4 linked regions of the Schizosaccharomyces pombe genome follow. The protein of the gene in region 1 purifies or fractionates together with the protein of each later gene. This does not show direct contact. Each region holds a gene or a part of one and is shown in the gene's direction. Other genes may lie near its edges.

Region 1 (8,127 bases):
CTAAAGTCGTTAATGTGGAATATCGAGAATCATCCGGGTTTAAGCCATTACCCTACCAATCAGTATTAAGGAATTATGCAAGTTGTTGTAAACAATGCTGGTGATTTACAAAGTATGTTAGGAATTTTCGTTATTTAGGAAGAATGAAAGTCTTTTACATGTCGGGTCTTTCAGTTAATGTATGGCATGCTAAACTTTGTATACAGTTGTATATGAGATGAAATCGGCTGTAGTAAAGAGAGCAGAATTCCTGGGTGTGGGCGGTTGTACACGAACGATAGGTATCGATCTAAAGAAAGGAGTCAGCAACTTTTAATGTCCAACATACATACTAATAAGACAAAGGGAATAAAGGAAGAAAAGAAAAAGTAATAAAATTTGATTCTAAGTACTTACGAAGAGTGTTTTATTTTGAATATTTTCTTAACCCGATTTGGAAAGGTGGATGTAAAATGTCGTTTCCATGAGGATTTTTGAAGTGTTTCGTTTTCTGTCATTATATTATAGCACAATTTTTTTCATTAACAATAATTGTGCAATTACAAAAAAAGGAGTTGCTCACGAAAATCGTAATTAACAAATAGAATAATAAATGTACACGAGGATTCAATGGGAATTAATTAGAATACGACGTTAAAAGAGAGACAATAATTACTGCTAGAAGTTGATGAAAAGCAAGGCGTTCATTATATATAATAGTTGAGTGCTGGCTTACAACGTCAAAACAAACTTAAAAACTGGGGTATGGTGGCTGAAATAATATAAAAAATAATGTATAGCGGTAACAACACCTTGATTTTATTCGTTTATAGAGCTATAATTAAAACAGTAATAAAAATAAAAAGCTAAGGAGGGTTTATTAGAATATTTCCATAGCCATTCAGACACTCTCCTCTACACGGCATAGCGGTGCGATTCGATAAACCAGCTTAGTTATGGGAAAGGATGCACAAGGGATGGAAAACAAACACTTCAACTATACATATATGTTTATACAATATTTAGCTATGTTCAAACAGACTCAAGATAGATAGAGCAGATGTGAATCAAAGCAGGTTGCACAAATGTCAGCAAAGATGAATAAGGTAAAATAATTACTACAATAAACAAAACAAATGATGGGCAAACTTTTTGTTTCTATGTCTAATTATGGGATCCATTATTGAATTTCGTTTCTGGTTTGTAAATATTGAAGAAAAGGTCATTAAAGATTTCTTATTCCTAAACTTAAACGTCCGTAAATAGAATCGTGAATCAAGCGAAAAAACGCCAATAGACAAAAATCAGAAACAAAAGGGCAATAATCGAAACAGGGCCGTACTGCCTCCAAAGTGCTTCCAAGTTAACGCGACGAGCCGCTTTTTTGTACTTGGCACTAGAGTAACGCAAATCTGAACTGAGATCCGCCATTTTTTCTAAGGAATCACCTCGATACAGTAAATCTTCAATATTCTTGGTCATGACACGGGTTACATCTTTCAGCTCAGTGTTGAGTTTATCAAGGTTATCATTGGCACGCGGGGTATTATAAACTCTTTTTGATTTTTGCATAAAGGTGTCTAGAAATTGTTAGTTATTTCAATCGCAAAAAAAATAAGTTAAGTCAATAAATAAAGGCATACCAAATTGAACAAATGCATAAGGACGTAATCCAGGTTGTAATGCTTCTTCGCCGAAACTATTCCAAAACTCGCCTGCAAGTTCTTCCAGATACGAAAACGCTAATTTTCGAGGATACGACTGTTCGCAAATACATAAATAACATATTCCGTTGTCGATGAGATAACTAGACGTTTGGTTAGATCTAAAATTGAGATTCCGTTTGCTATTCGTATACACAATTAAACTTACTGAAATGTATAATCACCAGACTCAATAGAAGCCCTTTTTTCCGATGTAGGACTTAGTCTTTTAAGGATCAATTTGGCTTGTTTCTTATGGCTTTCCAAATTTCTTTCTGTTGATTCATCATCCACGCTAGCGGCAAGCGGAAGACCTTAAATTCATCAGTTAGTATTTATAAGTAATTTTCATTTGAACGGGTATTAGTTAAATAGAAAGCAAAAAAAAGCAAAAATGAGAATTGAGAATTGAGGCAATCACGAAATAATTTTAACATACAACTCTCATTTTACTCAACGAAGACCAGTCTTTATGGTTTCAGCAACAGAAAATTAACTAATCCCACTTTGTAGGTATACATACCATCAAGTCTAGTAACTGTGGTAGATTTTACCATATTGTACAATCGCGTGCTTTGGATACATTCAACGTACCCAAAGCGTTTACAACCTAGTCAAACGAACCTACGGTACCATCGATATCGATAATACCGTATTTAAGTATGCTTCGTTATACTACAATACTGAAGCAACATGTTTAGTTAATCGTTCCTATAATAGGTAAATACACACATCACTTTGCAACGGGATTAATAAAAGGAATATATCCAAATGAATCCTGACGAAGATACCGAATGGTATGGAGGATGAATAGTTGTAACAATAGAAGTTAACAAATCAGGAATGATATTTTACGTTCGAAGGGAATTTTACCCGAAAAAGAACCTGATGTGGATGATGTTTTAGACGATGCGTTGGTCGATGCAAAGCAGCTTGCCCACGAGAATCGGTTGGAAAACAAGGATCTAGATGAGTTAGCAGAGCTTGAGGACGAAGAAGATGATGAGTTTTTACAAATGTACAGAAACAAGCGGATGCAGGAGTGGAAGGATCAAATGTCAAAAGCAAAATTTGGCTCAGTATATCCTATTTCGAAACCAGAATATACAGCTGAAGTCACAGATGCAAGCAAGGAAGTGTTTGTCGTTGTGCATATGTTCCAAGACTCGTACGTTTGTTCTTCATTTGTTTGCATTTTCAATGGGTCAATACTAACACACTACAATTCAAGACTACCGGCCTGTAAATTATTAGCTGCTATCTTAGAGAGACTAGCACCAATGTATCCCCAAATTAAATTTGTAAAAATTCCCGGAAAACAAGCAGTCGAAAATTATCCTGAAGCGATGATGCCAACTCTTTTGATATACGGTCATGGAGACTTACAACAACAAATTCTAACCTTAGCTACTTTAGGAGGAATGAACACTAGTGTAGTTGATGTAGCTGAAGCATTGGTTAGAGCCGGTGCCTTAAAGGACAGTGATATTGCAGCTTTGAAGGATCCACAAAATGCAGAAGATGAGTTAGGTAAACGAGATTCTTCCGTTAATGACGATTTGGATGATGATTTTGATTGAGTTTAGATTGAATTGACTTATAAAGTGTAAAACTATTCTCATCTTGCTATTTTACATGAAGGAATCTTGTTCAAAGAAAAAGCCCACCTAATCGTTCTTGTAATTAGAATGAAATATATTTTGCATATACTAAACATTTTTTAAACTATCTTAACCTGTCTACGTAAGCAATAAATTTTTAGTCATAAAGGGAAAAACACCTTCGAAGATAAGTTTGCAAAAAGACGTTGAAATCGAGGTACATACAAAAGTAAAATAACTTTCGAAGAATTGCTAAAAGGATAATATATATATATATATATTTTTGATATTATTTTTTTTACCGCTAGCGATCCTTTCTAAATTGTTGGATGCTTTAAGACTAGTTTTTACGAGTCGGACGTTGAGTTTCAAGATATGTAAACATCGTTAATGTATTAGTAACAACAACAAATTGAAACTTCTCGCTTTTGTTTAAATAGTTCGATTCGTAAGTTTTCGTTTAAATTCCATTGCAAAATTTATACTTTTATAAAAAATAGGGGTGATTTGAAAAACCTCCTCGACTTGGGATGTCGAATTTTCAACATGGAAATTATCACAGTTATTACAGCATGAGGGGAGGAACCTCAATTATCGATCCAAGACTTAAATGTTTGCCTGATTCCCTTTTTTATGAGGCTTCAGTTTTAGATATAGGATGCAATAATGGGACAGTGTCTGCTCAAATTGCCTCAATATTTGGTGCATCATTTGTTTTGGGATTGGATATCGATCATGTTCTCATCCAAAAAGCTCGAAAACATCTTGAGTTTGTGAGCTCTCGAATTGGCCCTGTACGCAATCCTGGTTCCATTGTAGAAGACCAGTTTAATTATTACCCCATTTCAAGCATTAAAAAGTTTTCCAGGATACCAGTGCAACTTCAACCACCTCTCAATAAGCAAAATTTCCCTCACAATATAGAATTTGAGACCGCTGACTTCTTGCGCTGGGAATCGAAACGAAAATTCAAAATAATACTAGCATTATCCGTATCTAAATGGGTGCATCTAAATAACCACGATGAAGGAATCATTAAATTCTTTGGGAAGATTAGTTCTTTATTGGAAACGAATGGTGTTCTTATTTTAGAACCTCAAGGATGGGACTCGTACTTGAAAGCTGCAAAAAAAATATCTGTAAGTCACGACTATCAATACTTCTAACTCTTACTTTTCTAGGTTTTTAATCAAACACCTGAGAACCTCAAAATCCAACCTGATGCGTTTGAACATTTGCTTAATCAAGCAGGACTAGTGCTTGAATACAGTATCGAACCTCAAGTAAATAACTCTGAGTACAAGAATTTTGCCAAACGAACAATGTATATCTATAAAAAAAAAGGAATTGGAATCATAAAACTATTAACTTCTACTTAATTGTCTAGTAAAACGTTAAGAATAGACAATGACTGGAACTATAAAGCATAATGTCCCAAAAGGACGTGTCTCATTTTTTATTAAATTCTCTAATTCAACATATGAGGAAAGAAAGAAAAGCGGAATGAAGTAGTTTTATTATTAGATTTGGCCTTTAATATCAACCACAGCATGCTTTTTCATGCATTTTTCGAATCTATCCGTGCTTTCTTTCATCAGTATGCGATTGGGATCTTTTGAATCGTATACAGCATTACAACTCCTAAAAAAGTTTACACAATCTTCCATTTCTTCAAATGCTAGTGTGTTAGCCAAAAATTCCATTGTAAGAGAAGGGCGATATGCTTTGCACATCATTATCATCGCCTGCACTCGTTCTCTCTCAATAAAAAGATCCATCAAATAACCTCCCATGTTGGGAGCGACTAAATATAGATGGAAAAATTTATAGTAATCGCCAGTAGCCATCGCCGAACGGACTTCTAATGCATGTGTAACAGCAGCGTTTGTTTTGTCTTCTTCTTTTAGATTGGCGAGAAGGCTATTCATTTCTATAAATTGTTAATAATTTGAATTCAAAAGATATATTCTTTTAAGCAGTAAGCCGTAATTAACTTACCAGATCGATTTTTAGTGAAGAGCATATACAGAATACGATATGCTAAAAATTCCTTAGTATTCCCTGGTATACCAAAACTGTAAAGATGAAATAATTGAGTTTGACATTGGTTATACTCGCCAACATCACCCTAGTCGAACGTTAGAAGAAGAAATGATATTTTAAAGTAATTAACCGTACCTTTTCAAGAGCTATACGAGCATGTATTTCGTAAACTAATACAGAAAACTCATTTTGAATCCTTTGCACAGTTAAATCCTGTCTTAAACTTTTAAATTGATCGCATATATATGCATAGTTTTTCTCTTCTTTCCATTTCTTCTTTAAAAGTTCGAGAGTTTGCTTAAGAACTGGAAGGGGTCGAACAGTATCCGGATCAGGAGCCGAAGTTAATCGCAAATACCTTTTCTCTAATTCTGTGGACCGTCCTATAATAGCACCATTCTCCGGGTTGACTTTTAGCTCTTCAGATTTAGCGTTATTTTGAGAACGAGAACCATTTTCAAACCTTCTTCTTCTTTTTTCTTTCTTATCCACTTCATCTTCTTCACTTAAAAGTGAAAATTGATTTCCAGAAACAGGCTTCTCAACCTTTCTTTTTTTATCTTCGATGATTGTATTTTGAGCATTTGTCAGTTTCCTTAGGGATTCTAAATTCATAGAAGACCAATCAACATTCCATATGTTTCCCATTTCGTATTGACGAGAAATTAGCAATTTTACTTCATCCTCTAATTCTGGCTGGCTGTTTTCCTCAGCGTCTTGGATGCATCTACCAATAAATTCTTTCAAAGAGTCCGGCCAAGGGCTATGATGTTCTTTTTTCATATTTAATATTTTTCATTGAGCTATATGATTAATGCTAAAGTTAAGTACTTTTCTCAACTTCCTCAATTGCTAAAGTGGTGAGTACCGAGATTGTATGAGAAGTGCGAGTCCGTCAGCTTAACCCTGTCAGTAACGTTGTAAGTCGATTTCATTATCCAACCTTTCAATCAATAAGGATTAATTTATTACTATTCAGTTGATCGTTCATCATTTTTTCCTTTAAAAATTTAAAAAGTCATCAAATAATTCAACGGTTCCACCTAAACTTGTTTGTTCGCTTAAAATTTATGAAACCAACATGGAAAGTAGTTAATATTAACTCACGCTATTCACGCATATTTTATTCTGTATGCCTCATATAGCCTTGATTAAACTACTAAAAGAGAGTAATATACCGAATTATCAAGCCTAAAACACTACCTCCCAATAAAGCAATCGTAATTCATTATTAAATAAAAAAAAATTTGAAGACTGCTTCGAAAGTTTTGTAGTAATATCTTGAAGAATGTAGGTCTAAATTCTAAGCTTTTGGTGACATTATTTAAGATAACTAGCAACCGGAATGATTAAGCAAGAGTCATATTAAATAAGTACGGAATATAAACACCAAATTCAGTGGTGCATCAAGTAGATAGATTTTATATTTTTGAAACAGCTGGTAGTATTAGCAGCATTAAAAACATCGTTTAAATGTCTCTGTATTAAACACCATATTGACATAAAACAAACTAAGCGTTCACCACTATTATGATATTATGAATGATTACATGATTTCAATAATTAATAATCAAAATTAAATGATAAAAGTTTTATTAAATATATTCATTTTCTCATGGAGCGACAACAGATTATAGAGTCTTTACGCAGAATAATTCCCACTGAAAGTACAGAATATAATGAACGGCTTATTAGTTTAGGAGAGTCATTTTTGGAATGGTCCAAATATAAACATAATCTAAAGGCGACAGAAGAGTTATGCCGTCCTTATATGGCAGCGCACTTAGCTTGTGAACTGTAAGTAACTTCTGATGTTTAATTACTCTACTTGAACTTGTTCTGACTCTTTAAAAAGATTATCCAATGATTTAAATTTGGAAATAAATTTACTAGCGACTCCAATTCCAAAAAAGAAATACTATAAACTTTTCACTTACTTTCAAGAAATCTTATCTCCATTAACTAAATCCTTAGCAGCTAAAGATGATCTGATGGAAACCATTACTTATCTTTGTACCAAACTAGGGGGCTCAACTGCTATACCTTATGTTAAACAATTGGTGAAAGCCGTTGTTACAAACGACATGCGCATCGAACACAAAAGAGGCATCATAATCGCAGCTTATTTACTAGTATCGGCAAAAGCTTTTGGAAAAGACGAACTTCATATAAATCACACCGAGAGAAGAAAGGCACAGAGTGTTTTACAGGATACAAGTTCTGCATTGCAAATTCAGTATTGGATGCATGTCCTCTCAGAAAGTTGGCAGTATAAAGAAATCCCTTTAAATGGTATAGAGGGTTATGAATCTCAAAAGCAACGGATAAAACCTTGGAGTGGGATAGCAAGCATGATTCAAATAGATTACGAAAAACGACTTCAAAATTATCCAATATGGAAGGCCTGCATTGAAGAAAGAATCCAATATTACAAAAGCCAGCTTGAAAAAGATGGTACTGCTTCATGAATACAATTTACTATATTAATTTTTTTTTGTACATTAAACAACATTTATAAACGGGTACACGATATCTTTAGTGATATATACAAATACATGAGTAAAAAAAAGTTAAATTAGACTCTAAGCTTTACTAATAGACCACTCCAAATTTGTAATAGACACTTCTGAAGAGGCATTTTCATCATAGTCATACCAATCATCCTCTAATACTATTTCGTCAAAAAGTGTATTACTTTCAGCACCATTAGCTATCCATTCTCCCTGAGGAATGAATTCGACTAGTTCACATCCTCTGCATTCCAATACGAGAACTTTTTTCGTCTCTTGAGAATCATTGTA
Region 2 (7,727 bases), on another chromosome or scaffold:
TTTTGTTTTCCATGGATGAATGCAATTGATGAATTATGTCAATTGGCCTCTTTGCAGAGGAACCATACGTCGAAGACAGTAAGAGCCTTGCTGTCTTAAAAATAAACTTGTAAATCGTCAACCCTTCAATTCGGGGGAAATTCAAAGAGTTGGGAAATATGACTAATTCAACATGATGATCTAGAATAGCATCAGGAAGTGCTCTGTATAGAACAAGGGGAACTAGATCTTGAAGTATTTGAATCGTTTTACCGGTTTCTACGTTATACACCTGATTATGAATATTTTTTCGACACAAATGTTCGGCTCCCTTATAAACAGGATTTAAAGGACGTAACAAAGGCATGAAATTGAAGTTTCTGAAATTCATAAAAGGCATTGTTGACGATCATGGATACTAAAAGAATAACATCGTTAACAACATGTATTAAATGCGGATCAGTGAATACTAAGCATACTGCTGTTTGCTCATACTACCAATTTACGTTAACGATCATTACATCAAAACATCAGATTATGGGATCAATGTTTACCGTGAACCTTGAGGGTCCTCCAATTAAGTAGATCAAATAACGAAGCTCTACAACGTCTTAAAGTTTGTTACTGTCAGCAATACTACACTACGCTATGATACACTACGTTGTGTATCACTATATGTCACATGTTCTAATTATATATCGTACCATGTATGATACGATATGGAGATTGATCTTAATGATAATCTATTAAGATCAATATTATCTGAATACTATAAATAGAGCTACTGCTGAACCTCGTTCCTCAGTTCAGTTATGAGCTATATTAGTGATAGGTAACATTATAACCCAGTTAATACAATACCTATACTCAGTTGCTACTTATACAACCTGTGTATTGTAATATAATAGATCACAAGGAAAACTCACCGCAGTTCTACGTATCCTTAAATCAGATACCAAACTGCGTAGCTTACATACCGATGCGTAGAACTGCGGTGAGTTTCTCTTGCGATCAACAATATTGTGGTATGCAATATGATAAATTAAACAATGTGATATTTATTGTTATAAAAAGTTTATTAGTATCGGTCGCCGATATAGCTAGTAACTGAACCGGGGGAACGAGGCTCGGTTGTATATCTATTTTTTAAAATCCCTCTAATATCTTTTATCAACGTGTATATATGTATAAGGTGTATAAATGACTGCACTTACTAATAAACTAATTTTAAGTATATTCTAACATATGACATATAGTGCTACGCAACGCAGTATATCGTAGCGTAGTAAAGTCTGACACGCTACTATAACATTTCATCTCTTCAAACATTATATTATTATGCTATTCATTATTTTGTAAACATTAATTTTGTTTGAATTGAACCATTAAACAAAAAGAAAAATGATAATTAAGCTTGATTCATTAAGAATCAAGATGAAGGAGAAATGAATGCAATAAACGACAATGAATTTGTAAATTTAACAAGGCGGAACAACGAGTTTTTCGATTTCATTAGTTGATTTTAAGTTGTCGTAAACAATTTAAACCATTATTGTTTGTGACTTGAGTTCCATTAGAAAAGACACATAATTAGACTCGCATATAATAAATAAGAGATTCGAATCTCAATGCATATTATCCAGATTATCCAACATCGCGAACCATTTCAAGCGATGCATTAGTTTGACAATTTTTGGTAACTGGAAGAATGAGTTAAGCATATTTTCCATAAACTTATAGTGAAAGATGATGATTAAAGAATGTTGGTGCTTATGTTTTAAAACGCCGCAGCTTCTCTGCGTTGGTGATTTTCGTAAAGAGGTTTTCCAGCTGTAGAGACTTTCGAAAGCACAACTTTAATAATGCAATTTAAACTTCGCCTTCGACATCCATTTCCCCCAAGGGAATGTTATTATTATTATCGTTGCCACCTCTAAACGCATTTGCTAGCCCCATCATCGCATTTCCTATCCCTCCTAGTCGGGTAAGTAAAAAATCATTCATACAGTTGGTTGAATACACATACCTAAAATAAAAGCTATACCATTCCTGATAGAGTTTCGTGTTCTTATGAGTGCACCTGGACATTCTGGCATGGTTAGAGTAAACTTCAAGAATATTTAACGAACCCATTTCGCAAAGAAAAAGAACATTGCCCATAATAAATAGCACAGAGGCTTCAATTTCACAACCTGTCCATTCAAAATGTTTACCACGTAAAAACATCGTACCGTTTAGTACCAACACGATACCACTTTGTAACAAAAACACTTTTGCCAACTTAGCTAACGTACGCTCGAATGTCCAAAATGGAATACAAACTGTTTGTCAGCGTTTAGCATTGTAACTTCACTTACCAGATGATACAATTAAAAGTAAAACAGCCGAAATAGTGCATGTGGAATAGATGAGAGCCTTATTTAAGTTCAGATCGCCAGATTTGACGCAACCAAAGAGTATACAACAAATGATTAACCAGAGTAACCAAATTATAATCATCATTTCTCTTCTTATGTTGAAAAGGCCAATAGAGATCACCTTTACACATTGTGCCAAGAAAACTACAGTCACCTTTATACATTGTGCCAAGAAAATTACAGTTACTTTGACTGCCTTGATCCAAGTTTCATAGAAGTCTAATGAGTTAGTGACTGAAGGTAAGAATTGACCTATCGTGTCACTTACACCATAAAGAAATAAAAATCATTAGGCAAATAGCACACCACACTCCAAAATATACCCATTCATCTTTGCCATAATCTTTAAAGAGAGCGTCCTTATACGTTAGATAACAAACTGCGGGTACGTTTAGCACAAAGATTGAAATGAATGATAAAAATGCTTTTTTCAACGGAGAGGTAGAAGAATTATCTGCCGTCCCGGAAGAATGGTTTTCTCTATGTGTAATAGAAAGACTGTCTTCACCATAATCCGGAGGAGTCGTAGACTCGTCCGTATTAAATAAGTTAGGGTTGTTAGCTCCCATTTGTTTGGGATCCTTTAAATTTATATTTTCTATATTGTTAGCAAAATTCAATGGTAACTTTAGAATATTTTTTAATGGGAAAGGAAAAAAGAGCGTGCCCTGTTAGACGAATTTATACTCGTAATATGTCAAGTTGTAAACAAACAAACACAACAAAAACATTGTAAATCAAAACAAACAGACACAGCAAATAATCCTTGACACACTCAATTCTTTATCTTATCTACCAACAACACAACACTTACCTGAATATGGAGGCAATGTGCTCCCATCTTCTGAATTGTATTCTGGGAGAGGACCTTTTTCCAAATCAATTTCATTATCGTTTTTTGCACTCAATTCATCCATAGACGACCTCAAGGGGTAATATTTATTCTTCATTTTCTAACGACAGTCTATTATTTAATGATATACACACAAATAGTTCAATTGTTGTGATTGCGACAAACGAAACAGCAAAATCAAGAATATTCACTCTGTAGTCCAATTCCAATCGCTTTAAAGACTTTTTAACAAAATAATAAAATTGTTCAAACAAATTTCCAACTAATTCCTTCAAACAATGGCATAAAAAAAGAAGAACGAAAAAACTGAACGAGGCAGTGAATTGCTTCTGACACATTTATTTTGTCACTGCCCTTTTTATTCACCCCAACTTAGATTTCCTTAAAACGTTTTTGAGAAGCAAAACGTTGTAGTATAATATAATGTCAGCTACGCAATTTGGTATCTGCTTTAACGATTACATAGAACTGCGGTAATTTTTCCTTTGTGACCTATGATATTACAATACACAGGTACTATAAGTAGCAACTGAGTTTAGGTATTGTACTATCAAGTTGTATTGTTATCTATTGCAAATACAACTTATAATTGTGTAAGGAATGAGGTTTAGCAGTAACTCTATTTACGTTGTTTAGATGATTTGGATTTTAATAGATTATTGTTAAAATTAATATCAACATCGTATCATCTGCGGTGCGATATGTAAATGGAACATGTGAACATATAGTGACACTCAACGTACTGTATCATAACTAATCTCGGTGACAGCCTTAATATGATTTTTTGATTTCGTAAATCCTCGCAAAAAAATGTACGAGCTCCAACACAATACCGTGTAAATGGGCTTTGCCTGTACATGACACATTCTTCTGTTCGCTGCATCTTTCTTACTTCATCCAAAAGCGTGTAAAACGAGTCTTCTCCCGATTATAATGTTGTTTTACTCATTTTTTAAGACATTAATAGACACGGAAGTTACCGTGGAATTGAAGGTATGCCCCTACTTGGCTTTTTTGATCGCGTTATGAGGTTAACCAAACTATAGAATGATATGAGTATCCGAGGAATTTTGAAATCTGTTGACCAGTTTTTAAACGTTAAGCTTGAAAATATTTCTGTGGTCGATGCGTCGAAATATCCTCATATGGTATGCTTTGCAAGTTATCGGGAATTGAAAGAGAAATAAATGATTTCTACGATCGGTAGGGTTCGGTTTATTCATTTTATTTAGGTTTTTGATTGATTTTTGAAAAAAGTCTTGTCCAAATCGATTATGTACAACATCTTACATGAGAGGAACATGAATCAATCAGCTTTCCCAACGTATATGCTACATTCTCAACTTTTAAAATCTAGGTTTTTCATTAATTGAACAATTTAAGACTGATCATAAAGTGCGCCTCACTTTCTGAATTCTTCGATCTATCCTTTTTTTTTCGTTCCTACTCTTAACACTATCTCGTGCTATTATTCCAGAGTTATAACTAATAATTTATTAGGCTGCTGTTAAAGATTTGTTTATTCGTGGTAGCGTTGTTCGTTACGTCCATATGTCAAGTGCATATGTTGATACTATTTTATTAGCTGATGCTTGTCGTAGAGGTAAGCCATGATTTGTTAAACACTGAAATTTTAGCCTTATTAACTCACTGGTTTTTAGACTTGGCTAATAATAAGCGTCAATAATTCCTTTGAAAATTTCCTTTTTTTGGTCAATATATTCGGAAACCGTGAACTAATTGCTTATTTAATCGTAGTTCGGTTATTCATCATGTGTCCCATTGCGATTTTTTTCATGCCCGCAAAAGGAATATACATGTGTATATACATCATTTTATTAAGGACCATTGTTGTTTGAAGGTATTTTCCTCCCCTTTCATTCATCCATATTCTTACTACCTTTTCGCTTTTCTTTTAAATCCAGCTTCCCTATTATGCCTGAAACCGATCCCTTAAAATTACCGTTTTATTATCTTCAAAAAAAAAAATTAAGTAGAAAATTGTTGGCGTTTACATGATTTTTGTGTACGGCTTCTTCCATTAATATAGTTGATGAGACTTTGTCAATTATCATAAAATACATACATCGTTACATATCGGTTTATTGCTGCGAGAGGGAATTTTTAGCACTCATGCATCATTAGCAACAGAGCGTTTGTATTACTTTAAAAGATATCCACTCAGATTTGTGTTTTACAAGTCTAATTCTTCTTCCAATTTATTTTACTGATTTCATTTGTAGGATTCAACCGATCTCACCTTTAAGCCAATCAGGCACACTCTCTTTCATCGTTTTTTTAATATATTTTGTATTCTTTTAAGATCTTCCCAGTGAATGATACGATTTTACTTTTTTAGTGTTCTTAGTTTTATTCTAAGTTAATCATGAAAAACGTCTTCTTTTTAAAAATAATTGAAATGTTCAGTAGTAAGTTGAAAGTAAAATCGTATTTATCTACTACATACGGTTGAGCAGCATAAGTATGATATCGCATTTGCTGCCAACTACCTCACTCACCATCCACATGCCATCTATCATATTATATCCCATTTACTTTGACAAGAGCCGTCCACGTAGGTTTCGTTGTGTACCAAAAGACAAAGCAATTTTAAATCCGTTAGCTAAAAATATTGCCGATGTTGTTCGCGATTTGGGATATAAATGTAAATTGGAACCATTGAAGACACATCCTGCAGATTGGGTCAATCCAGGTCGAGTCGAAATGGTATTACCTGAAAAAATACAAAGTAAGATTGTTATTAGTTTTATTTTCTCGTATGCTAACTGACTGTGAATGTAGAAAAGTATGTCATAAACGAAATCGCCAAAGTACTACTTCTTCGCCCAACTGTTAAGACAGATCCTTTATCGTTACCTATTCAAAATGTTCCCGCACGTCTTCCTGAAAATCCTCCTGCATATCCTAAGGGGGTTTTAGGAAATACGATTTTACCTCTTCATTCACCTGCTTTATCTGGCGGTGGTATCTCTGAAAATATGTTCCAGGAAATGATGCAGGAAATGCAAAAGCAACCTGGATTAGCTGGAGGTATGAATCCAATGGCTGCACTTGCTGGTATGGGAGGCCCTGCTCCTCCTATGCCAACTCCCCAAGCATCTTCAAGCCAGCGAAAACAAAAGTCAATTGAACCAGAATATGATTTGGATTTGGAGTAAACTTATTGTTTAAAACTGAAATATTAGGAATATAGGTGCTTTCGACTATTAGCAAACGCTCATGGATATTAGTAAATTTTTTTTCTCGTCATCTTTTAACAAAAAATTTTTTCCTAATAATGAGTATGGATGTAGAGTTTCATTAAAGATGAGTTCATTTGCACAGCACATTCTGCTTTTTTAAGACTGAGTTCTGGTGGCATACTTAATATTTTTCTGTCTTTTATAAATGTTTCGCCTCTCGTTATATCAGAAGCTGTTTCATTGTAGTTTCTTTCATGCCAATTCAGAGGCGAAATTTTTGAATATTCTATCATTAGTAAACCATGTTTGACATAGTCGTTTTCAAAAGTTTAGTGTGAACTGTATAATTAAATTCTTTTTCGACAACAAATAGCATCTTTTTCGTACTTCAATCCGTATATTCAGGTAAGTTTGATGACTCTCTTTCCTGAAAAGTAATAAATCGCTTTAAAGCTTGCAAACACTAACATGTGAAAGGTTAGACTGGGTACTTTATCTAAAATCTTACCTTTCTCTTCTTTTCGTCTTTAAGTATATTTGAACTTGGATTTGCTTGTAATCGTTGATGTGCACTTCTTTCATGAATACCAACCATAGTAACTCCAATAGGCCAAGGTGCATTTCCAATTGTCAGACGTAAATACATATCATTGGCTTTGACAAATTCGTGTTTTTGGCATCTGTAACAAATTTCAGCTATGCTTTTAAAAATATCGTCGTTTAAAGCTTCATCGACTATCAGTTGTATAAGTACATCAAGATCTTGCTTAGCTTGACGAAATATTTTTAATTGCATCTGACTCTCAGAACTTTCGAAAGAGTTGATGGATTTTGAAGACAAAAAGTTGTCCCAAATGCGGATTCCATGTTGAAGAAAAGCAACTACTTGCTTGGATACTTTGGGTTTGGTGGTAGTAGCATGCTCAAAGTCGATTGTTTCAACTCCTTTAGTAAGGAGTTCATTTTCAATTTCTTCCAGTTTTTTGTATTTTAGCAAACTGTAATATCGTTGAATGGTAGCCTCTTCTGACTCTCCAAACAAACGAATTGGCTCTTTCATCTCACGAAGCTTTGCAATAATTTCGGTCAACGTGAGGTTGTCTTTTGTGATTTCAGGTATTGATAAACGGTCGTTTTCGGAGACAGATAATTTTGTACTTGCAGGTGACGCTTTGACAGCTGGTGAGGGAGTTGTTGTTTCTGTAAGCAACTCTTCATTTCTACTGCTCTCTTTGTTCGCAAGTCGTGAAATGCGTAACTTCTTTTCTTCATATT
Region 3 (7,253 bases), on another chromosome or scaffold:
TCTAAATGACAGTGTGTGATGAGAAACGTTTTAATCCTTTGCTCTGAAAGGTGCCAGGCTTTTGCGTATGATTCATTTTCCACCGTATAATTGTCATACTTGGTGATGGAAGACCAAGAATCGACGGACAGGTGTTTTGACTGGATCAACTCAACCAACGCCGATAGGTGGCTTCCACCATCCAGCGATATAATTTCTTGAAATGCGCCATCAGAAATCAAATGACTGCTACAGCAAGACTCCAATGGACCCCCCTAATAAGTCAGCATGGCTCTCAATGCATAATGTTTGAATTCTTACATTTTGTCCCTGTTTTCGTTAACGTTAGTCGAAATTCTTCAAAAAAAAAAATATTTTTCGTTTTTCATACCAATGAATATAATGTAAAAGAATTTTCTACGAGTCCTACTACTTGATCGGTTTGAAATTCAGCTTCTTTGATTTCGAGTGCTGCATGCATGGCTAGGCTTATGGAGAGTTACAGATCTCCGGTGCATGCACTAGTCTACAAAAACATGTCGGTTGACGTCATATTTATTACAAGCATACATTTACTACCGTAGATTTAGGGTACGATAAACGATGCTCGAAATGTGGAGAAACTCGGGGTATAGTGTAGTGTGTTAATTATCCTTATTCATGTGCCCGCTTGGTGAAGAAGTATGCTATGAATAAATAAAAGGATGGAAGTCGTTAAGTGGAGAGGAACGAAGTTATGCTTTGCTGCTTTAAGTAAGATATTAAGAAAAAAAATGCGACTTTGATGAAACACGTTTGACATGTATCACTTCCTTATGAGAGCAATTTTTCCGAAGGTTCAATATACACCCTTAAAGAATGTCACGTAACGAGAAGAGAGAGAGCTATTTTTTATATAATTCCAGAGGTTTCCTTTTTTTATCGTTTAACATTTCTGAGGGGAAGTTTTGTTGCTTGTTTAACAATGTCGGCAGAAGTTTATGCCCTTCTCTTTAAGAGACCGACTAGCAAACAATTGTAAACTATCGGACACTAATATGTTTTTTAAAATAATAATTCATTATACATACAAAAAACTGAACCTCGTGTAATATAGATTTCCGTATGAACTTGGTTCTTTATCGGACTTTGAGGATTCGTAAGTCCCAGTCATTTTATCTGATTATGCTAAACTAACTCTTACTTTTTCATAGAGTACTTAGATAGTTCCAGTCAGTGCTGCTGAGAACCAGTTTGCATCAGTTAGGGAGGGTGGTAATCGTTGTAAGAGCTTTCAAAATATGATCTCCTTTTCCTTTATGCAAGATAATCAAAAGAAACATTCCTAAATTACCTATTTGAAGAATCTTTTGTATGTGCCGCTGAAATTGCTTTCCATTGAACTTTTTGTTGGTCTATGGAGAGAAATCATCATAGGTGCATAGCAGCCTTTAGGTAGATATTTTAATTAGCAATATATCCCAATTTTCCCTTTGATAATGATCGGTCTTTTTTCAATTAAGTCTATACCTAAAGGCATATTGGAAACTTGCTATAAAAGTTTGAAATAGAAACAATTCTCAGAATATTACTTGAATACGTTCTCTGTTTTACTCCCTTTTTTTTTTACTCACAAAGAATGTCACACTGCAGTATCGAATTGCTTTATTTGTTCCTTTGGAATAAAAAGGTAGATTTCCTTTTATTACAGCAAAAGATAACAAGACTAATAATTAAGCGGCTTTGTTTTTACCAGGAATTGCATTTTATGACACTACGCAAAATTAGAAATGTAAAAAAGCGCTTTCGAAAATTTCCTTTTACACTTTCATTATCAGGATTGACAACCCTATGAATTCCTCCGTTAAAACTTCTCACCAGCGGAATTCGATGAAGGTTGATGTTAACAGTATAGACTCAATAGCAACATTATACGAAAAATCATAATAAATTGTGAATAACCTTTTATTAATTGAGCGAATAAACATAGAGTAAATTTAATTAAGATTAATAATTATAACTAATTTTGAAGAAATTATTATAAAGAAAATAAATACATTGAACATCAACACATCCCCTTCAATTCATATACAAAGTGCATTTCTCGATTTTAGGACTAACTTGAAACACAACGCACAAACATTTCCACAACTTGATCTTTGGTTTTGGCGTGAAGGTTGTTAGTGCTAAGCTATACATTACTCCTTATACTTCATCGGTAGCAGGCATGGAGTGCATTTGATAAGCTTGATTGTTGGATGATGATGGACTGAAAACATTACCAGCCGCATCATACGAGGTACCATCAAAATTTATTGGAGGTGACCTATTTTTCGATTTGTCGGGTCTATTTGTATCGCCCTGCGTTGTTGTACCCGCTGAAGACTCACTAGCTGCATCCCAACTAATAGTTGGCTGCGATGTAGAATACGACGGAGGAGGAGCCAAGCTTCCAACCGCAGGAGCGAGTCTCCATTTCTTGATGTTTGCTTCAATAAATACATATCCTGCTTGTCCAAGATTGACATGTAAGGTACAAGGTCCAATTGCACCAACCGTAGGATACAAATTTCGATATGTACACGGCAGTTCTGCACACCGACGACCGTTACGTGTAAAGAAGATCCGATTGCACTTCGGTTTGTAACCAACACCAATTACATCTCCCTGCTGGTAGAAAGAGGAGTACGGTTTTCCCGTAAATGGTGAATTACTGCGGCGTGTTCCATCCGACACATAAGCAGTAGACCAAAAATTCCAACCAGGCAATCGAAACGGCGGATATGGCTTGGTAGCCAGACCGATGGAAACCAAGGTATCAATAGGTACGTCTAAAAGTTTTACTTCAAAATAGTATACTTCATTGATCCTCTGCAAAGGCAAATTGGTTTGCATGCAACATTCTTCGTTGCCCAAAAAAGACAATTCAGTTTTATTTTTAACATAGCAATTATATTCCTGATTTGGGATAAAGTGCCATGCTAATACGCCCTTCTCTTGAACTTGTAGGAAGTCAAGCAGCTTTGCATCCGTGTTGACGTTAGATTTCATGGAATTCAACTCAAACTCACGAGCTTGTAAATACCGTTCTTTCCCCATATCATCCAATAAACTAAATCCTTCTTCATCAATATGTTCATTCTCTAACGCTTCGTCGTCCAACTCACCAGGATTGGTGTTTTTCAGCAAGATCCGTCCATGTCGTGTGTATCGCAGTAATAAGATGACTGACAAAAGACAGATTAAAAGAACAATGACAGCGGCTAATGCAATAAATATGAAAAGGATTGCTAAATTAGGATGGGTGTTTGAAGATTCCTGTAATCTCAACTGGCGAATCTGATCGGGATGCATGACTCAAAGACGCAAAAAATAATTTTTTATATAAGATTTGAAAAAGGAAAATCTGCGAGTGTATATTTAATAGAGAAATAAATAACTGAGAGTAAAATCCTAGCTATAAGAGGATATAGTATAGGGTTAAGAGAAAAAGGATTTTTCTCTCAGATATGCAGTTTATTAAGCACGAGATACAATATTTAAATCTAACGTAGATGCAAGTATCTCAAATATTGCACTAATATGGTTTTTGCGAATGCTCAAGGATTGGGCGAAATGGTATACTTGTTTCAAGTTTACAGGAGAAAATACAAACTCCTTTAAATAAATAAGATATAATTCTTAAGATAAAAAAGAATTTATTCCTGAAGGAGCCACAATGGCCTGTTGTAAGGTAAAATCGAAAATCAGCGGCAATTTACCAGATAATACTGCTCCGTCACAATTATGCTTATAAGTTTTCTGTTTTTACAACCATAGATTGGAATTAACCAAATTTTTATTCGAAAATTTACTTTGATTCGTTCAATGTTTGCTTCCGGATTTCAGATGGTAATGGGAAAAGGAAGGTTACGAAGCACCACGTAAAGGCCACATGGATACTACTCCGTCCATTAACCAACAACACCTACCATGTCAGGGTCTCGAAAACAAGAAGCAATAGACGAATTAAGGAACTCTCTTGATGTTCCTGCTGATACTGCTCAATCTGTTTTGGAATCATTTAATTGGGACGTTCAGGTATGTGACACGGCAAGCATTCATTTTCAGTATTCGATAGTGATCAATTGCTTTGATTGAAAAATTCCAAGAAAGTTGTTATTTGCAACTGAACATTCATGGAATCCTCTGGTTGTCGTTTATTTTTCTAATCGAATTTTCGGTGAATGTTGGGACTGAGCCATTTTGCTAACTGTTTTATGATTAGGAAGCGATCGAGAGTTTAACTGGAGAATCGTCAAGAGTCGATAGAAATTCAAAGCTTGGATTAAGTTTCGGCGTCTTTCAATCTGTTTTTTCTTTGCTATTCAGTGGGTTGCACAAACTATGGATGATTTTGTCAAGGGTTCCTCTGATTTCAACATTTATCCCCATTTTTGGTACTACTAAGCGTGTCCTTTCTCCTGCAGACACTGCGAACAAGCTGGTTCAGAATTTAGAAGAGCAATACGGTACTGAGCATATTGATTTTTTTACTGATGGCGGCTACATGGAAGCGTTGACACGTATTAAGCGTAATTATGGAGTCGCATTGCTTTTCTTTACTAGCTCAAAGAATGATGACTCTGAGACGTTTTCCAGGAGTGTTCTTATGAACCAAGAGCTAAAGGAATTTTTAAATCGTCGAAACATTCTTTGCTGGACTGGTGATGTTTGTGAGGATGAGGCTTTCCGAGGTTCTCGTCAATTCCACTGCACTAAATTTCCCTCCGCAGTCCTTGTTATGTATTCACCTCAGCTATCTGAGCTTGTAGTTGCCGCCCAACTCCATGGATGTCTTGATAGTTCCAGCATCATTACCAATCTAACTAATGCTTTGGCTAAACATCTTCCTTCTCTTGAGCGTTTCCGTTCGGAGAGAGAAGCACGAGAAGCTGCTCGCGAGTTACGACGTCAACAAGACAATGCCTATCAAGCGTCCCTTGCCCGCGATCGCGAGCGTCAAGCTTTCGCGAGAGCAGAAGAAGAGCGTCTTGCAAAGGAGAAAGAAGAAAGAGAAATCGTTCAGAAAAAGAAAAAACAATATCGTGCTTGGCTTGCTTCTAATCTTCCACCGGAGCCATCATCTGAAGATGAACCTGCTCGTCTTTCGATCCGTTTTCCCGACGGATCTCGGGCTGTTCGAAGGTTTAAGAAGGATGATACTGTTGAATCCGTTTACAACTATGTGGATTATATGCTTTTTGAAAAAGAGGAGCCTGAAGAATTCGGTCGCGCTACTTCATCTTCTAATCCGGTCACTCCACCAAGTGACTATAAGCATGATTTTCATTTTCAACTATATTCTTCTTTGCCCAGAGCTTTGCTGAAACCATCAGTGGCTATTTCTACTAACAAAGCCATCTTTCCAAATGGCACTGTGGTGGTGGAGCTGGATGATTGAAATTAACAAAATTGTTTGTCTTTTTAAATCATAATGACAATTTACGACTATCGACGTTTCGAATCCGTTTTTAAATACATTTCTAAGATTTGATGTATGATGAATTTATTTTCTCTTTTCTATTTCTACTACTGAATTAATTGTTGTTTATGGCATGAATGTCTACTGGACGCATTGACTTTTTATTTTGAGCAAACTTTCAATGCACCCTTTAATCTGAGTACATAGTCGATTTCCACTAGATTTTCTGTTCTTTGCCAAAAACCTTTTCTATGCATGTCATCTTCATCTCTGTTTTCTACGATTTTCTTTGCAATGGAGGACAAAGGCTAGTAATTTAGGCTTTGTAGCATAAAAGTTTTGCCAGCTTTCGTCTGTGATGAGTGAGGTATGTATTATGAACATAAATTTGTTTAAAATATAAATCTTTCTTTATTGCAATTCGAAAAAGTCTAGTGGCTTTGTTTCTAAACAGCTTAAATTTTACCTTTAAACTTTCATTAATGTTAAATTTTTATATAATTAATATACAAATTAGTGCATTAGATTCACTTTATGTCAAGCATTATGACCCCAAGCATGGAATTTCTCAACGTTTCTAACAAAATTGGAAAAGTAAAGCGGTGAAATTATTTCCTTTCAGACTGAGCAAGTTTATTTTACATTCCTTTCTGTAGCGTGTTTTATATTCCATTTACTGCTATGTCTTAAGTCATTCAAATTGAACCATATAAGGATACGTTCGATCACGTTACAATCATCGTAAAAAGGAGAATCGTCAAGTTGAACCTGTACTTTATTCTTTTCTGGGCAATAGCTGATAATTTACCTGGTTATTCTAGATACAAAGAATGTCCAGTCTTCAAAAACGCCCTGGCCCAGGTAACTCTAGTCAACCGACGTAAGTCTAGCAGGAACGAGCAGCATCATGAGTTTTGCTAACTTTCTTAAATAGTGAAAGACCAAGAAAAGAATCTATCCTTGATCTTTCTAGATATCAAGATCAACGAATTCAAGCCACGTTTACGGGGGGCCGACAAATTACCGGTATTCTAAAAGGATTCGATCAGTTGATGAACCTTGTACTTGACGATGTAGAGGAACAGCTTCGCAATCCTGAGGATGGTAAACTTACTGGAGCTATTAGAAAGTTAGGTCTTGTAGTCGTTCGTGGAACAACTTTAGTTTTGATTGCTCCCATGGATGGTTCTGAGGAGATACCGAATCCATTCGTCCAAGCTGAATAAAAAGCCACAAGCCCTTCATTTGATGTTTGACTATTGTTAATAAAATACTACAAGTTAATTATTATACCGCATGTGCATGTTTTGCTTTGAAGGTTCAAAGACCCAATTCGGAAAAGTGTAAAAGCAATATGTGTTTAAAAGAATAAATTCGATTATTAAGATGATTTTCTCTACGCATATGTTTAAATTATTTAATCCATGTTTATTCCCAGTTAGCTTGTTATCACATTGCTATATAATTTATCTAGTCTAAATAGATATATGCCATTGAATAAAAGTATATTAATGCCAAAAAGTTTAGTTCTTTTCTTCCTTCAAAACTGAAAATGAGAATTTAGGTAATTCCTGGGTGCTTTCCATTGTAGAGAGATTCTCCCCATTCTCTTTTGGCAAAACCGTGAACGAAAACTTGGGAAAAGGTTCCTCTTCTAGGGAACCTTGTTTGTCAGTTTTTTCGAGCGTCATAGTGGCATCTTGCTTATGTTCATTCGTGCCCTCAGCAGAGGGTTTCTCGACTTCAACTAGCGAAGTCGATTCCGATACTGAGATAGGGCTTTTCTCAGCTTGCTCAAAACTCCGTTGATCAATAGCAACGTTCGTCATCT
Region 4 (7,014 bases), on another chromosome or scaffold:
AATTTAAATTAGACGATACTTTTTCTCTTTGTTTAGCAATCATATTTTAACTTGAAAGTATAAAGACGTATTCAGGTAGATATAATTAAGACTGGTCAAAATTCATTACACATAACCCAATCATTCATTTTCATAAACTTATGATGTGTAATTTACTTTTAACAAGAGAATCATAGAGATTTTTGCTTAAACTTATGAGCCATAGATTTTAATTCGGAAATTTCCACAGGACCCTTGACACTGGGATCAGAAATAGCCTCCAAAGCAGCCAAAGCAACTTCCTCAGAAGGAAGGGGTTCAGCCGAAGCGGTTCCGAGGAAATTTAAAGCACCAGAGGTTGCTCGATTGATGCTGGATGAGACAGTAAAAAGAGACGCAAGGGCGCCTGTGAAAGGACGATCATTAAAGTTATACATAAAACCAGGACGGAGAAATATAGAACGAAGGTTTGAAATTTTAGATATTTCCCTTTCAGCTTCACGTTTCGTTTTTATGTAGCGGGGATCCAACCCGGGAGCCGCTGCATGAGCAGACACATAGCAATACACAGGGACATTAGCTTTGGCGGCAATCTTAGCTGTTTCAATAGCTAAATCTCGATTGATTGCTTCAAATGTAACTTTATTTTTAGATTGCTTTGCTTCTTCAGGTTTAGGTGCTAAAGGGTTTTGGCCAGTTTTAAACATGTTAGAGCTAAGACTATTGATTAAATGCGAAACTGGTCCTCTGGGATTCTGTAAAATCTTTTTATAGTTATTTTCCATAAGGATACCAACACTGTTCACCACTGCCGAGGCATCACGAAGAACAGGAAGTAATGAATTTGGATCTTTTTGAGCATCCAACGTCTCCCATTCAACATCATCCATCCATGGTTCTTTGTTATGCAATCCTCCAGCTCCTCTTCGGGATACTGAAACCACCTCGTAACCCTTAGCAATGGCTAATTTGCAAATATTATGCCCTAAAAAGCCTGAACCACCTAAAACAACAATTTTCATACTTAAAACGAGGGAGAAAGTAAAAATAAAATTATTTAAAGAATTTAAATCTTCAAATTAGACAATTTGATATAGGCCAGCCCAAATTATTATAAGGATTAGAACCCCAGAATTGTTAATGTAAGCTAACACCTCAAAGTTTCGTGATGCTTATTATTAATCTTAATAATTGAGAAACACAAAAATGCTGTCTCAAAATATTTTTAAAATTTCCTTTTACGAACAATGTTCAAAAAACCCTTTCAACCTGAGTAGTTAGTAAATCGTAGTTGAAGAGAATGAGGTAATGTGCTAGCTCAATAAGGAAGACCAAGAGATGGAAAGAGGTAATTAATTATCTTCTATTAGACTTATTAATTTATAAAAATATGTACATCATTTAATAAGTATGCAAAATAACCATCATTCATAATTGGAGTATTAGTAAAAGTTTGTCTTAAATGAGAGCGCTAAAAAAAATTAAAAATAAAAATGCTTTGATAATTTAGTCTTTAATTTTCTATACTTTATAAGCCATTGATTAATTTCTTAATTATCTTTGGATTTTAAATTCGTAATAATAAGATCTCAAATTCAAATACTTCATAAACCCATTTACAAATATGTTAGATTAATAACAAATTCAATTTTAAGCTAACAATAGAGCTTATGAATCATAATATTTATTCCGATAACCCTGAAGACACAATTTCGAGTTTTATGAAGTGTCTGAGAAGCCAGTTGATTGCTATTCTGTTCATACAGAAAATTTCGTGATTCATAGCAAGAGGAAAGAAAAAATCTCAAATTTTTTTTATTTTTTTTTAATTAATATTATTACATATTTAGTTGATCGATCAAGAAATCGTTGAGCGAAAGTATTAAATTCATATATTCTAAAACAATACACTGTGGTTTAATTTTATAAATTTAAAATAACTGATCGTTACGAGATCTATTAGAATTTTAAGTCTTCTTATTATTGATATCTACACCTTTTTTGTTTTGAAAATATATAAATCTTATTTTTTTTCTTTCATTCTAATCAACATCCTTTTTTTTTTTTTGAAATTGTTTTAAATCAAATGTGTATTTCATTATATTGTGACTGATAAAAATATGTTTGCGAAAGCAACATTTGAACAGATTGAGTAAATAGGCTATGATATAGTAAATCTTTAAATTTAATTTAATTCTCAATACCAAATAAATATTTCTTCAAAAAGGGTTACAAATAAATTAGCTATACTGTGGAGTATATGATATATCGATCCCCCTGATGTAACAAATATAACATATAACAATATGTGTTTAAGTATGAGTATATTCAGAATACATTGGAAATAACGAAAATCCAAATGAAACATTAAGCATAAATTTCTGATTTCTAACTTGCCCTTTTTATTTTATTTTATTCATCATAGTTGTCTACTATTCCAACACAAGTTATGATGTTAATGAGTTGCTAGAATGTTTATTTGCGAGACAGTAGTATAAATATCCTTTCGTAGCTGCTGTACGTTATAACGAACAACTTAACTTTCTTAAATTTTTCTCAATAAATACTTAAATTTACATTGAAGAATATAGCTGAAAATAAATAAACTCACGATGGCAATTTCTCAGCCTCTTTAAGTAGATTTGCTTTTATAGTCACTATGATCTACTGGTTTAGTTCTGTGTGCTGCTTCGTCAAAGTTGTAAGTCTTCGCTTAATTATTAGCGAAACTTTATTTTATCAGATAGGGATAATATCCAAGAAAATTGTACTACCAAGCTGCTTTGAGAAGATAATACAAGTACTGAGATGAGTGTAAAAAAGTGCCAAGGAAAACGAGCTGCGCCCTTTAACTTCATCTGTCTATATTCTAAATGCCACCTTTAAAACAAAAATCTAACTTGTCTTATAATGTAAAAACCCTAAAGCTTCGCACTTATGGTGACACATTTAGTACAAATTCTTTCTATTCCATACGTTCTTTGCTGAATAAAGAGCGAAGACCGTCCCCTTTATATTCGAGCCGTCATTAATTTTTCATTCAAAAACTAAGATAGTAAGGCACATCGATAACAATCTAAAGTTGTGAAAAAATTCTTATAAAACGGAATTCTTAAATACTTATTTCTTCCAAATTATTTAAGCAAACCTTCAAAAGAAGAATTATCCTTCAATGATTTAAACTCAACAACTATCAAATGAAGTAATTCAAGAATATAACTGTAGTCAAATATATACATCTATATTCCCCACGTCCATAAGATTTGTATATTTGTTTACAACGGGTATTTTTAGTTAGAAGAACGGTTGCTTGTAATGATGAGGAAGGATTCGTGAGCCGGATATAGCTGGAATAATGTTCAATACCTTTTCCTTTAATAGATCTATTTTACAAAATAAATTTCGTTGATTAATAAAACAAAAGATCATTTAAAAATCGTGCGCTTCACAAATTACTTTAATTTTCTTTTGACACAAGATTGTGTTCCTTTCCAAACTAAAAATATAATTGGGTTACTTCTTATATTGATAGCAAAGTTAGCTTCAAAATTTTAAGACAAAAAGGTGTTTTCAATTTGATTAGTTTATTAAAATTCTTGATTTTTTTGTTTTTGCTGTATGTTTTATAAAAAGTATCATGTCACTTGAAATACATGCTGTAAGACTACCTACTTTTGTTTAGCACTACCATACTGTAATACAACTAATACTTAAATCACTTTATCATGAGTCTTGCTGATTTTATGGAACGTAAGTGTCAAATTTTCAATAGAGAATGAAGTGACTAATATAGATGTTCGTTAGAAAGGGTTCAAGTCATTACAAACGATGGTCGCGTTGTGCTAGGTTCCCTGAAGGGATTCGATCACACGACCAATCTTATACTTTCAGACTCATTTGAAAGAATTATTAGCATGGATCAAGACATGGAAACAATTCCTTTAGGCGTTTATTTATTACGTGGAGAAAATGTGTAAGTGGACGCAGAGCCTTGTACTGGCGGTACGTAAATCAATAATCTAATAGTTATTTTTAGAGCAATGGTTGGATTAGTGAATGAGGAATTAGATTCAGAAATAGAATGGACCAAAATTCGAGGTGAAGCAATACCTGACGTTGTGCATTAATACAAAAACCGGACGTTAAACTTCAAATGAGAACAAACGTTTAAGGCTACATAGGATTTGGGTTAATGATTTTTTTGTTATATTTCCTCTTTGTGCGGGCGAATCCTTTGCAAATTTTGTTAAGCTTTCCACGATATATTCATACCTTGCAGCATGTCTTTTATCAGGAAGCTATTAGCTCGTAGAAAGAAGTGAAAATTCTTTCTTTATTTTTTTAAAAAAATATGACTGAGGTTGTAGATTAATTCTGATGACAAAGAGTTGACACTTGAACGAAAATACTTAAAAAAATGGTTTAAAATACCGAGTTCGAGGACATCGGTTCTTTCAGAATTTAAAAAATTCTTGGTTTCTTGTTAAATTTGTGGATCACAAACTCATTTTTCTTCTTATTTTGTGGGTTTCATCTTTCTTAAATGATTCTTGGGAACGTTAACATACCTTTGTTTCCTTAATTTGATTTATGCACTTTGATTTTGAAATTTGTGGTCAACTTGTTTAAAGACTTTATATTTATCATTGATTTTTGTTATTATATGGAAAAAAACATCACAATTTATATCATTTACTGTGCATAACATTCTTCATTTTTGCTGTCACGCTTAATGTTTACACTGGAAAATTTCTCTACCTTGAGAAATATTTCAGCATCATGGTCCAATTTACAAAGATCATTTGAGTTAAACAAAAAAAATGATTTATTATATTTGCTGCTCATATTTTTTTTTTAGTGATTTTTTATTTTGGCATCGTTTTGTGAACTTACTTTCCAAGCTTTGGGATTATCAAGAAAAAATTTTTGTTGAAAGAAGAGCAGAAAAACTGTTTGATAATTAAATGCCTTTGCAATTTCATTTTCTCAATTTAGCAAAATAAACTGAAATTTCTGCAGCAGTGACTTTAGGTTACATTGTAACCTACAGTTTACAACGACCTTTGTGCTTACAGCAACTTTTTTTCAATTAATTTTTTACAGCCATACAAAACGGACTTGATTCCTTTATTTTTAGTTTATTAAAGCCGTTAAATATGAATTTGGTTCTCCCTGGACAGGTGGTCGCGAGAGGGGCTCCTAACGGTGAAGGAACGGTAAAGAGAGGAGATTATATTATTTCCACACGAACTGGCATCTTTGATCCAGAGAAAAATTCTGTAACGTACCCAAGAAAAGTTGAAGAGACAGCCGTTTTACCTAATGTCGGATCTATTGTTTTAGCTCGCGTCAGCAGGATCAATGCTCGTCAAGCAACTGTAAACATCTCAGTCGTTGACGATGTCTGCACCAAAGATGAATTTCAAGGGGTAATACATGTGCAGGATATTAGAGCTACTGAGAAAAATAAAGTCAAAGTGCAAAATTCATTCCGACCGGGTGATATTGTCAGAGCACTTGTAATTTCACTTGGAGACGGCTCTTCGTACTTTTTAACAACAGCTCGAAATGATCTTGGTGTGATTTTTGCTCAGTCTAGTGAAACAGGAGAGCAAATGTTTCCGGTGGATTATCAGCATATGCAAACAAAATCAGGATATACGGAAATGCGTAAATGTGCTAAACCTATATTAGACGAATAAAATGAGGGGATAAAATTGCTTTGTTTTGATATAACCTGATAGTTTTTTTTCCCTCTCGGTTCGTTCTTTCCTAACAAAAAAAAAATTCTGAAATTGTTAGAGATTTTATGATACGAATATACGGAACACGGATAAAAATAATATTGAATATAGAAATATTGGAAGTTCATTAGAATGATGATTGAGGTGACTTGCTGTCGAAACCGATATCATTTTCAATTAGAAGTCAAATGTATAGTTTTATAAGATATAGAGAACCTTTGTAATTCAACTGAACGGACAGGAGCTCTGAAGTTTCTTAAAGTTATTTACTTAATGGAACTGAATTGGTCGGTTGTTTATAAACTCTAATTCATTAACAAAAACATGAATAAGGAGTTTCTAGCAATAATATGTGTTATGTTTACAACTTTCTAAGAAGGTTACTGTATTAAGTTATTTTGTGTAATTTAATATCGAGGATTGCACCTTTCATTGGAGGCTGTGATATCCTGAAATAACATTTATGATCACAGATTTAAGGATGAAGTATTTAATGACATGAAAATTAGTATTCGTACACCTCTCAGTAACTTTTCAAAACTACTTTCAGTTTTTACATTAAGGGATTGGATGTACTTTTTATACACAGTTTTATAAAATACTAGGTTGTCTCTAAACATCAAGTATCATCTCAATCTTTACTTTCGGCCATTAGACTGATATATTTTATATCAATTAATTAGTAGACAACTGTTTCCAGATTCTCATATAAGCACGAGAGCTTCTATTCTACCCGTCTTTTCCGTATATAGCTGTCATGACTCATTAAGCTACTCCAGCGTGAGACTATCAAATTTAATCTCTTCATCCCTAATATTTGTTTGTAAATACTTATAATTGCAAAATATTCCATTACCATGACATCAAATAGAGGATTCTAAATCCAATTCGCAGGTACACTGACTTTAATGGATTCTGGGCTAGTTCCATAAAAAGGGATTGAAAGGTTTTATTTTCCATATGATAATAGGTTTCAATAATCAGTTCGACAAAAACATCTTTCATTAGCATACTTATTACCTCAAATAGTCGATGTTTAACTATATCAGATGACTATCTTATCAGATTATTCTTCAATCTTAAGCTTAGGATTTCTATAAAAGTTGGTTACAAATACATCTCTTTATGACGAAAATTTACCGAAAAAAGTACATCTGGAGTCGCTCATTCCATCTTAGATAATTTGTTCGAGAAGCTTATAATTCCGGATCGTTTTGTCAGTAACTGTATGATGGGCTGAGATTGTCTTCTAATACGCTGTCTTCACTGGAATGCAAGAGCGCAATGGTTT

What was found.
Region 2: the proteins of bmc1 (region 1) and lsm2 purify together in Schizosaccharomyces pombe (affinity purification with mass spectrometry, with the first as the bait; one study listed by BioGRID). This does not show direct contact.
Region 3: the proteins of bmc1 (region 1) and lsm7 purify together in Schizosaccharomyces pombe (affinity purification with mass spectrometry, with the first as the bait; one study listed by BioGRID). This does not show direct contact.
Region 4: the proteins of bmc1 (region 1) and lsm8 purify together in Schizosaccharomyces pombe (affinity purification with mass spectrometry, with the first as the bait; one study listed by BioGRID). This does not show direct contact.

Annotation. Positions count from the first base shown.
Region 1 is NC_003423.3:2,960,414-2,968,540, forward strand, and holds bmc1 (Bin3 family regulator), read left to right. Parts: upstream 1-3,689; 5' UTR 3,690-3,813; coding exon 3,814-4,422; exon of another isoform or gene 4,423-4,464; coding exon 4,465-4,662; 3' UTR 4,663-4,803; downstream 4,804-8,127. Other genes in the region: SPOM_SPBC2A9.13 (uncharacterized protein), read left to right, coding at 76-112, 207-316; SPOM_SPBC2A9.14 (uncharacterized protein), read right to left, coding at 190-289, 397-497; SNARE protein Sec22, read right to left, coding at 1,255-1,559, 1,623-1,786, 1,852-1,996, 2,206-2,239; plp2 (phosducin family protein), read left to right, coding at 2,454-2,479, 2,524-2,850, 2,914-3,262; iss9 (nuclear export factor), read right to left, coding at 4,804-5,213, 5,282-5,411, 5,462-6,109; origin recognition complex subunit Orc6, read left to right, coding at 6,942-7,123, 7,182-7,794; protein ess1, read right to left, coding at 7,909-8,127.
Region 2 is NC_003421.2:2,141,380-2,149,106, reverse strand, and holds lsm2 (U6 snRNP-associated core protein), read left to right. Parts: upstream 1-4,121; 5' UTR 4,122-4,182; coding exon 4,183-4,242; intron 4,243-4,295; coding exon 4,296-4,397; intron 4,398-4,749; coding exon 4,750-4,852; intron 4,853-4,910; coding exon 4,911-4,936; 3' UTR 4,937-5,158; downstream 5,159-7,727. Other genes in the region: protein mug163, read right to left, coding at 1-379; wtf meiotic drive antidote Wtf23, read right to left, coding at 1,849-1,955, 2,006-2,068, 2,109-2,300, 2,337-2,615, 2,665-2,994, 3,211-3,346; putative signal recognition particle subunit Sec65, read left to right, coding at 5,776-5,998, 6,052-6,428; U5 snRNP-associated protein Prp18, read right to left, coding at 6,841-6,915, 6,961-7,727. UniProt on the Schizosaccharomyces pombe protein: Component of LSm protein complexes, which are involved in RNA processing and may function in a chaperone-like manner. Component of the cytoplasmic LSM1-LSM7 complex which is involved in mRNA degradation by activating the decapping step.
Region 3 is NC_003421.2:1,812,172-1,819,424, forward strand, and holds lsm7 (U6 snRNP-associated protein Lsm7), read left to right. Parts: upstream 1-6,194; 5' UTR 6,195-6,252; coding exon 6,253-6,302; exon of another isoform or gene 6,303-6,356; coding exon 6,357-6,648; 3' UTR 6,649-6,753; downstream 6,754-7,253. Other genes in the region: dual-specifity cAMP/cGMP phosphodiesterase Cgs2, read right to left, coding at 1-254, 301-309, 371-460; SPRY domain membrane protein, specificity factor required for ubiquitination Ear1, read right to left, coding at 2,164-3,312; dsc5 (UBA/UAS domain-containing protein), read left to right, coding at 3,931-4,038, 4,226-5,401; nucleoporin Nup60, read right to left, coding at 6,946-7,253. UniProt on the Schizosaccharomyces pombe protein: Component of LSm protein complexes, which are involved in RNA processing and may function in a chaperone-like manner. Component of the cytoplasmic LSM1-LSM7 complex which is involved in mRNA degradation by activating the decapping step.
Region 4 is NC_003421.2:2,274,198-2,281,211, forward strand, and holds lsm8 (U6 snRNP-associated protein Lsm8), read left to right. Parts: upstream 1-3,680; 5' UTR 3,681-3,704; coding exon 3,705-3,729; intron 3,730-3,783; coding exon 3,784-3,952; intron 3,953-4,015; coding exon 4,016-4,106; downstream 4,107-7,014. Other genes in the region: ubiquinone biosynthesis protein Coq11, read right to left, coding at 171-1,001; exosome subunit Csl4, read left to right, coding at 5,136-5,681. UniProt on the Schizosaccharomyces pombe protein: Component of the nuclear LSM2-LSM8 complex, which is involved in spliceosome assembly. The LSM2-LSM8 complex plays a role in the biogenesis of the spliceosomal U4/U6-U5 tri-snRNP complex by accelerating prp24-mediated annealing of U4/U6 di-snRNA.